Linked DNA regions of Caenorhabditis elegans. The protein of the gene in region 2 interacts with the protein of the main gene of each other region in a pairwise test. Each region holds a gene or a part of one and is shown on either strand. Other genes may lie near its edges. The genes, in order: rpn-12 and K01A2.10.

Region 1 (3,534 bases), about 11 Mb from region 2:
CTCGTAGCGAAAACTACAGTAACTTTTTAGAGGGCTACTGTAGTGTCGATTTACGGGCTCGGAAATTTATTTATTTTTCGTTTAACAATCGAAACCACTACAGTAGTCATTTAAAGATTTACCTCGTGAGTTTATTTCCATAAGTAGACGATTTACTATTTACATGTAGTTTTCGCTACAAGATATTCAAAAATATGTTACGCAATACACATCATCGTTCATTCAACTTTTTTGGCAACAATTATTTATAATTTTTTCAGAGTGAACACGGTTCTAACAAATCAGCCAGAATTTGCCGAGGCTTTCAAATGTCCAGCTGGATCTCCGATGAATCCAACGAAACGCTGTGTTGTGTGGTAATCAGAAAATACGGGAAAGGAGTCAACCAAGTTGGCACGCTTTATCTATCTGTCTCTCAGAATCTACTAAATCTTTCGTCCTTTTTTTTTACTCATCTAGCTGTATATATTGTTGAAAACAATAGACACTCGAATTCACTGTATTTTGTCCCTCTATGTATTTTTTCTCGAATTTTTCCAACTTCTTTTTTTGGTATATCATATTGATAGATGTTCTTGTTCATTCCAGAAATCTTTGTGCAAATAAAATTTTCAGATGTAATTAAAACTTGCTAAAACAATGCATCGGAAAGTTCATTTTCTTACAGTACCGAGAAAAAGACGCGAATAAATTAAAATCAGTTTACAAATACAATGCTTGAGTTCTTGAAAGACACCGGTTAAACGATTTGTTCGAGTTGCTTGGCGTAGAAGAGGGTTTGAGTTGCGACTCGCACTGTATCCAAATTCACAGGCTTCTCCTGAGCCACCTCAATTTCGAAAACGTAACGCTCTCCATCCAAATGCCATTTTCTCTGTAAATAAATATATTTTTTAATACTTGTAGCTTTAAAAATCATTATTACCTCTTGTCCAAACTTTTTCATTTGTTCGTCATTGTCGAACAGAAGCATGACCGTGGCATCCTTCGCTGTCAGAACTTTGAAAGACTTCTCGATAGATGTTGCGATTTCGCGACGGATGGTGTCAAGCATAATACGAATGAAAATAGTGTAGAAGGGGCTTGGAATATTCTTCTCGGTGAGCACAACCTTGTTGTAGGCTCCTTCCATGAGACTCTGTTCAATACGAACTGGCGTAGAGATGTAAGCGTTTGATGTTTGCTCTTTCTGTGGAATTTGTTCGAGGAGCATGTGGAAGTCGGACAATCTGTTGGCAGCGAGCAGGAACATCAGATGGAGTCCAGTCATTAAATGCTTGTTTTCAGAATTTTCTGGCGCCATTGTATAGTAGGTATGCATCTGGAAAATTAAAAATAATTTACAGATCGTTAAAAATTACATAAATTTTCCAAATAATTATTTAAAGACTCACCTGATTGATGTAATCGTCGAACGTTTCGAAATCGTGCTTCAGAATTGCCAAGAGCACCGAAATCTCGTACAAATCTCTGAAAATTAATAATTTAAACTCATTACACCAAAGAAAAATCTTACTTTGAAGCCAATGCAGACTGTTTATCATTCAAATCGCTGGAGGCACTGAGAACCTTCTGAAAATTCAATTTATTTACAATTTGACAAACAATTAACTGACCGTCAACTCATTCAGAGCCTTCTCAACTGCGACAAGATCTTTTGGCTCCTTTGCCCACACAGCCAGAAGATTTTTATGGGCGGCAGACATTTTCTTAAATCCAATAATGTTTTAATTTGATAAAATCGAAGATAAAAGTTCACGATAAACACAAGTGAAGTTAAAAAATAAAAATAAAACATTCAAAAAAGAAATAAACGCATTCTCCGTAAATCGACACAATGACAATTCTGGCAGGTCTCGCCACGAAGAGTGTTCAAATCATGTGCGCCTTTAAGACGCCAAGCCATTTTCTCTTCTGTTTTTTACCACTTATTTTGTTCTTCAAAATGGTTTTTTTGTTTTGTTCTTTTATTAATAATCAAATGTTTGTTTATTTTATACATATATACTGCTTGTTTTGCATTAATATCAATCTGTTATCGATATTTATTTCTTTTTCTTTCAATACATGACTCTATTCGTAACATTTCACAATTTTTTGCAGGATGGTTTTGTCCGTTACATTCAGGACTCTCACACAAGTTAACTTCAATTTGGAATTGAATGAAGATCAGACGGTAAGATTAGAGTTAATGTTCGACTTGTATTTTATTTTTCTTTCAGATTGCGGAAGTAAAGGCTCTGGTCGCTTCGGAGAAAGGGGATGATTATGCTCCAGAACTTCAAAAATTAATCTACAACGGAAAGGTATTACAGTGAAGGCTCATAATATCTTTAAAGTATGTTTTTTTTTTAGATTCTCGACGATTCTGTGAAGGTCGGAGAAGTCGGATTCGATTCTTCGAAGTTCGTTGTTGTGATGCTCAGCAAAAGGAAAGTCACAGAAGTTGCACCTTCATCTACCGTTGCCACAGCTGCTGAGCCTGTTCCAGTAGCTGCCGCTCCTGCGTCAAACCCAGCCCCAGCTGCCGATGTTGCTCCTGAAGCTGCTGCTCCTGCTGAGGCGGAGGCGCTTACGGATGAGCAAGAAGAGAACGTTCTCGCAATCACTGGAATGGGCTATGACCGTGAACAAACTATCGCTGCTCTGCGCGCAGCATTCTGGAATCCAGACCGCGCAGTCGAGTTTCTTCTCAACGGACTTCCTGATGATGCTGCTGACCAAGAACCAGATTTGGGGCCCGAGCAAAACATCGATAACGTGGATGAGGATGGCAATGACGATCTTAACATGCTTGCAAACATGCCACAGCTTGCAGAAATTAGAGCTTTGATTCAACAAAATCCTGAAATGCTCGCCGCAGTCCTTCAGCAGTTGGCTGCTGTCAACCCAAGACTTGTTCAGACTATTCAGAACAACCAGCAAGCTTTCATGGATCTTTTGAATGGTGGAGCTCAAGGAGCCGGAGCCGCTGCAGGAAATGCGCCAGAAAGAAACACCCCACGTCGCCATGTTATCCATCTCAGTCCCGAAGAAGCTGCTGCTATTGAGAGAATCAAAGCCATAGTTGTTAATGCACCAGAAGCTGTGGTTGTGGAGGCTTATTTCGCATGTGACAAAAACGAGGAAGCCGCTATCAACTTTATTTTCAGCAACCTCGTGAGTTTATTTCCATACGTAGATAATTAGAAGTTTAATTTTTAATTATTTCAGGATGAGGAATAATTATCTTACCCATGCCAATAACTTCTGATCACCGTCACTGGAAATTGCAACAGAAATTAATTTATTCTCTCTCCCCCATTTCCGTAAAGCTTATATTCTTGCTCCTATCAGCCTAATTTTTTTATTAACACTTCTTCCAAGAATGTGTATTCATCGCCTTCTCGATTGCCCTTTGTCTATATATTTAAGATAATAACACATTCAGTTCCATGTGCTGATTGTCACCCGCTACTGGTAGGCACTTCGTTGAAATTCTCGTCGCGTTCAGCGAATTTTGTGTGACATAATTTCGGTATTGTAATTCCCTTT
Region 2 (4,282 bases):
GGAGTTTGGCGGAAAATGCTGCTACAATGCGAATAAAACGTTTCTACAATTCAGAAATTTTGAAATTTGAGAAAAACCTCATTTTAGAAATCATTTTTAGTACTAGTAATAAATACTAAAAATCTTGCAGCTCATACACATGGTAACCACCACCTTGTGCTCCTTAACCGTCGGAAAACCAATTGATGATGCAGATGCAAAACGTCTTCACCAGGAATTCCAAAGCCTATCTTCAGAAGATCAGGCTGCGCTGAGAAAGAATAATCCGGATATTAAATTTTGATTTTTTTTCTGATGTTTCCTCCAGTAAGGTATTTTGATTAAAACTGCATAATGAGACATTAATAAAAAATATAATATTCTTATGCGCACTATACATTTGGATACATGCGACGTGAGTGATGCCGTGAGGCCGGCGCGGCCACCGTTGCGGCGACCTTATGGAAGCCCTATTTCGGGGTGCGGCCTGATTTTCTTAACAAACATTATGCCCATGATATAGGCGTGGTCGGAGCAGCCCCACCTATGTTTTTGAGCTGTGGCTGAGATGGTTGACTTGGCTAAATTTCTGGCAACAACTAGGCCCCGCCGACGTTTTGGGAAGGATTTTCTGTCCAAAACGCATCTCCTGCCTATTTTCATAACATGGAATTTTGATAACTTTCCTGAAACCGTAGTTTTTATAATTTTCAAATAAAAATTCAGAATATCTTCATTTGACTGAGGTATATATGTACAATAAAAAAGTCATCGGTTTCAAAAACCCATTGAATTTAAGCTTCCGCACCTGCCTCCTGAAAGCTTAATTAGGCATAGTCGGTGCACGCATCGCTGAAGTTGATCTTTTCTGAATACTAATTCTAGAATTTCCAGGATACGTTACAGCAACAGAAGCTGATAATAGTCCACTTGACACTGGTGGAAAGATCCGATGAGGTGAGGATGGTGACGTCATCGGTGGTGATGACGTGGTGGAGAGTTGAGATGAGGCTCTACGACGATGCTGGGATGTTGCCATTGCTTCGCGGAGTTTGATGGCACGGAGTTGTTGGGAAAGATGGGTTACGGTTTGGTTACGGTCAGAGAGTTCTTCGTTTAGCTGGCGGATTCGGTCACTCTGAAAATTGTTTCGATTAAAAAAAATTGCTGCAAAAATGTTTTGGAGTTTCAGAATTTTTGAAAGTTTTTAAATTTCTCGGCAATTAAAGAAATGAATTTCCAAGAAGTTGATATTACATGGTTATGAAAGTTTTGTTCATTATTTTTATAAGTTTACAAGCTCAAAGCCACAATTTAAACTAATATTTCCACAAGGAAAATAATGTGACTTTACAAATTTCGAATCTTGTAAAGTTTTTATTTGAAAATTCTATAGTTTTTTGAAAATTTGGTATTTAAAATTGAAATTTGTGTAAAGAATTGTTCCGGAAATCTGGAAATTTTGAATATTAAAAAAAAGTGCTGGTCTGAGAAAGAAAAATTCCAAAAAAATCTAAAATTTTTGCCAAATTTCAGAAATTAAAAACATATTGTCTTCAATGTCAATTTAAATAGTAAAAAATATGTGTTTTAGACTCCGCCCACAAAAAGAGCGTGGCTAAAAAAAACTTACCTGAATAGTAATTTGTTCCTGAAGTTTTTGAATAGTCGTTGAAACTTTTTTTTCTAAATTCTTGGTATAAGCTTCCTTTTCCGTAATTACTTTTTCCAGTTCAGCAATTTTATCCGCTGAATCATCATCCCCGTGCAAAGTTTTTCGTTTTTCTTCCCGTAACTCATTTCCGAGGCGATTAATTTCATTATGAAGTGATTTCAGCATATTTGAAGTTTCATTTTGTAAAAATTGGATTTGTGATTTTTCATGTTTCCTCCATTCTGCATCGCGTTCTTTCAAGGCTTTGTCGATGCGGATTTCAAGTTCTTCAAACTGAAATTAAATTTTGTTTTGAAAATTAACTTTTTAACATATGGCTCAACTTTGTACTTTTAATATTTGTATATTTCAAAACACGAATTTGACCCCAAAACACTTTGAAAAATTACAGTTTGACCTACCCACTAATTTTTTGCGCGGAAGTTTTTAGAAAAATTGAAAAGTGCATTTTGCTTGAAATGTTTTTTTTTCGACATTTTGAATTTCGGATCAAGAAAAAATATGTTAAAAATATTCTGGAAAGTATGCCGATATGAAAATTAAATGTCTTACATCAGAAGAACCCTTTGCCCTTCCAGTCGTGGGAGGAATCGATTCAGAGCTCGACGATGAAAATGAGCATCTATTTGGGTGTTGGGGTCCGTGAAAGGATGCTGTCTGGGACGGAGGGCGACTCACAATCACTGCAGTTGACATTCTGGAATAATTGGAAATTTTTGTGGAGTATGGAAATGAAATCGAATATGAAAAAAAATCAAAGCGAAAAAAAACTCAATTTGAAAATTTGGAAACATGAAAACATTTTGCAAATTGCAGTAAGTTTAGTAAATGTTTAAAAATTGAAAAAAAAACTAGTAGTTAGAAAAAGACGTCTAGAGAAAGTTGTTCAAATTTTAATGAAAAATGAGATCGAATTCTCGAAGCTCTTACTCCAACTGAACTCCCAACAATTCTGACCTCAGCTACCTAGACCACCGCCTCAAAACTGTCCTAAAAGTTCAAAACCAAAAAACCCATTGAGTCAGCTGACTTCATCTTAGTACATCCCCCATCTTTCAAACACACACACAAAATCGAACAACTTCTCCTTGAAAAGAGAGGGAAAAAGTGGAAAAAGATGAGAGGTAGAGATACCAAAGACCTCCTGATGCAGAAGAGTAGACATAGAGAAAACGAGGCAAGGATTCAGCTGCAGAGAGGGAGGGAGGCCGAAAATAGAGAAGTAGGGAAAATGGTGGTGGTCGATTTCTATGGAACCCGCGCACGCACGGACACGTTAGGGAACATGAGCTCTTCTCAATGAGCACATTATGAAATCAGAACGAAAATGGGGTCTATGGGGGTAATTTGGTATTCAGGAAAGGTTAATACTGCACATATATTTTCATAGTGGTCAAAGGTTGTACATCAGGGGTGCGCGGCAATTTTGACAATTACCGGTTTTGGAAATTTTCGGCAATCGGCAATTTCCGGTTTTCAAAATTTCGGGCAATTCCGGCAATTGCGGTTTTTTGGAATTTTCGGCAATTGCCGCGCACCCCTGAATAAGAGCCCTAGAACCTTAACTTCTTTGTCTTGCTGAATTCAAACTCAACCAGTAAAAAACTAAGTTAAGGGCTCACGTTAAAACCTCTTATGTAATTTCAATTTTTGCATAAAAATTCTGCAAAAACGCTTTTCAGAAAACTTCTAAAGGCGTTAAAATATTTGGCCCGTTCAAACAACTCTTGTTGGTTTTTTGGTGCTGCCCAAAGCTAGAAAAGTAAGGGAATTCTGGGACAATATGAGAATAGGAGAAAAGTGAATGTAAACAAATAAGGAAATATTTATGAGACCCTTTCTATACTTTTACGGACACAACAATTTTTATTTATTGAACATTTTTTTATGGGGGGTGCCTCATTCAAATAAATATTGGTGAAAGTTTAATGTTTTGAAAAAACAAAAATTACTTTAATTTTTCAACAAAAAAAGAGGTTTTGTAAAATTTTGTAATATTTTTTTTTTGGCAATTTTTTTTTCGATAGCTAAAAATTGTTAGACAGTTCAATTTGTAAAAGAATAACTAGGTTTTATAAAAAATTGTTTTTAATTTTTTAGCTCACTTATTGATGTTTTAAAACATAATCAAAATTGGTACTTTCAAAAAAATTGAAATTCAGGAAATTTCACATTATTATTCAAGTTCTCCCAAAAAAAAGGAAATTTTAGTCGATATTATAGAGTAGGCACTTCCTGCGTGGTGGTGTCACCTCTTTTTCTCTTTTTCGACCAATACATACATAAATGATAGTGTAACAACACGCATTCGATATTCCATACCCCCACTCTCTATTTCCATTCCACCCATCTGATACATAGTCATAAAAACATAGGACTAACTGGTTTTCGACTGTTTTTTTGTAGGATTTCTCAGTTACAGGTGTCACTTGATTTTCAGGTGATACGGAATTTAAAAATAGTTTATTGATATGGGAATTCGGAAAAAAATTGAACATAAAAATATCTGGGTAATCGGGAGGTACCTCCCAGCCTACTGTCTAAACTGGTATCTTGCAATGCATTTATGGAATTTTATTTACGAATTTGTGGAAAAAGTACCTTTATTTAATTTTCAAGAAATTTTCA

What was found.
Region 1: the proteins of K01A2.10 (region 2) and rpn-12 interact in a two-hybrid assay, tested with the Caenorhabditis elegans proteins (2 studies listed by BioGRID).

Annotation. Positions count from the first base shown.
Region 1 is NC_003280.10:11,651,299-11,654,832, reverse strand, and holds rpn-12 (26S proteasome non-ATPase regulatory subunit 8), read right to left. Parts: upstream 1,710-3,534; 5' UTR 1,707-1,709; coding exon 1,617-1,706; intron 1,573-1,616; coding exon 1,517-1,572; intron 1,471-1,516; coding exon 1,395-1,470; intron 1,322-1,394; coding exon 926-1,321; intron 875-925; coding exon 740-874; 3' UTR 641-739; downstream 1-640. Other genes in the region: nep-1 (Neprilysin-1), read left to right, coding at 261-360; rad-23 (UV excision repair protein RAD23), read left to right, coding at 2,105-2,176, 2,223-2,306, 2,356-3,159, 3,214-3,225. UniProt on the Caenorhabditis elegans protein: Acts as a regulatory subunit of the 26S proteasome which is involved in the ATP-dependent degradation of ubiquitinated proteins.
Region 2 is NC_003280.10:320,746-325,027, forward strand, and holds K01A2.10 (CCDC92/74 N-terminal domain-containing protein), read right to left. Parts: upstream 2,354-4,282; 5' UTR 2,351-2,353; coding exon 2,207-2,350; intron 1,928-2,206; coding exon 1,613-1,927; intron 1,118-1,612; coding exon 803-1,117; 3' UTR 697-802; downstream 1-696. Other genes in the region: far-7 (Fatty Acid/Retinol binding protein), read left to right, coding at 131-283.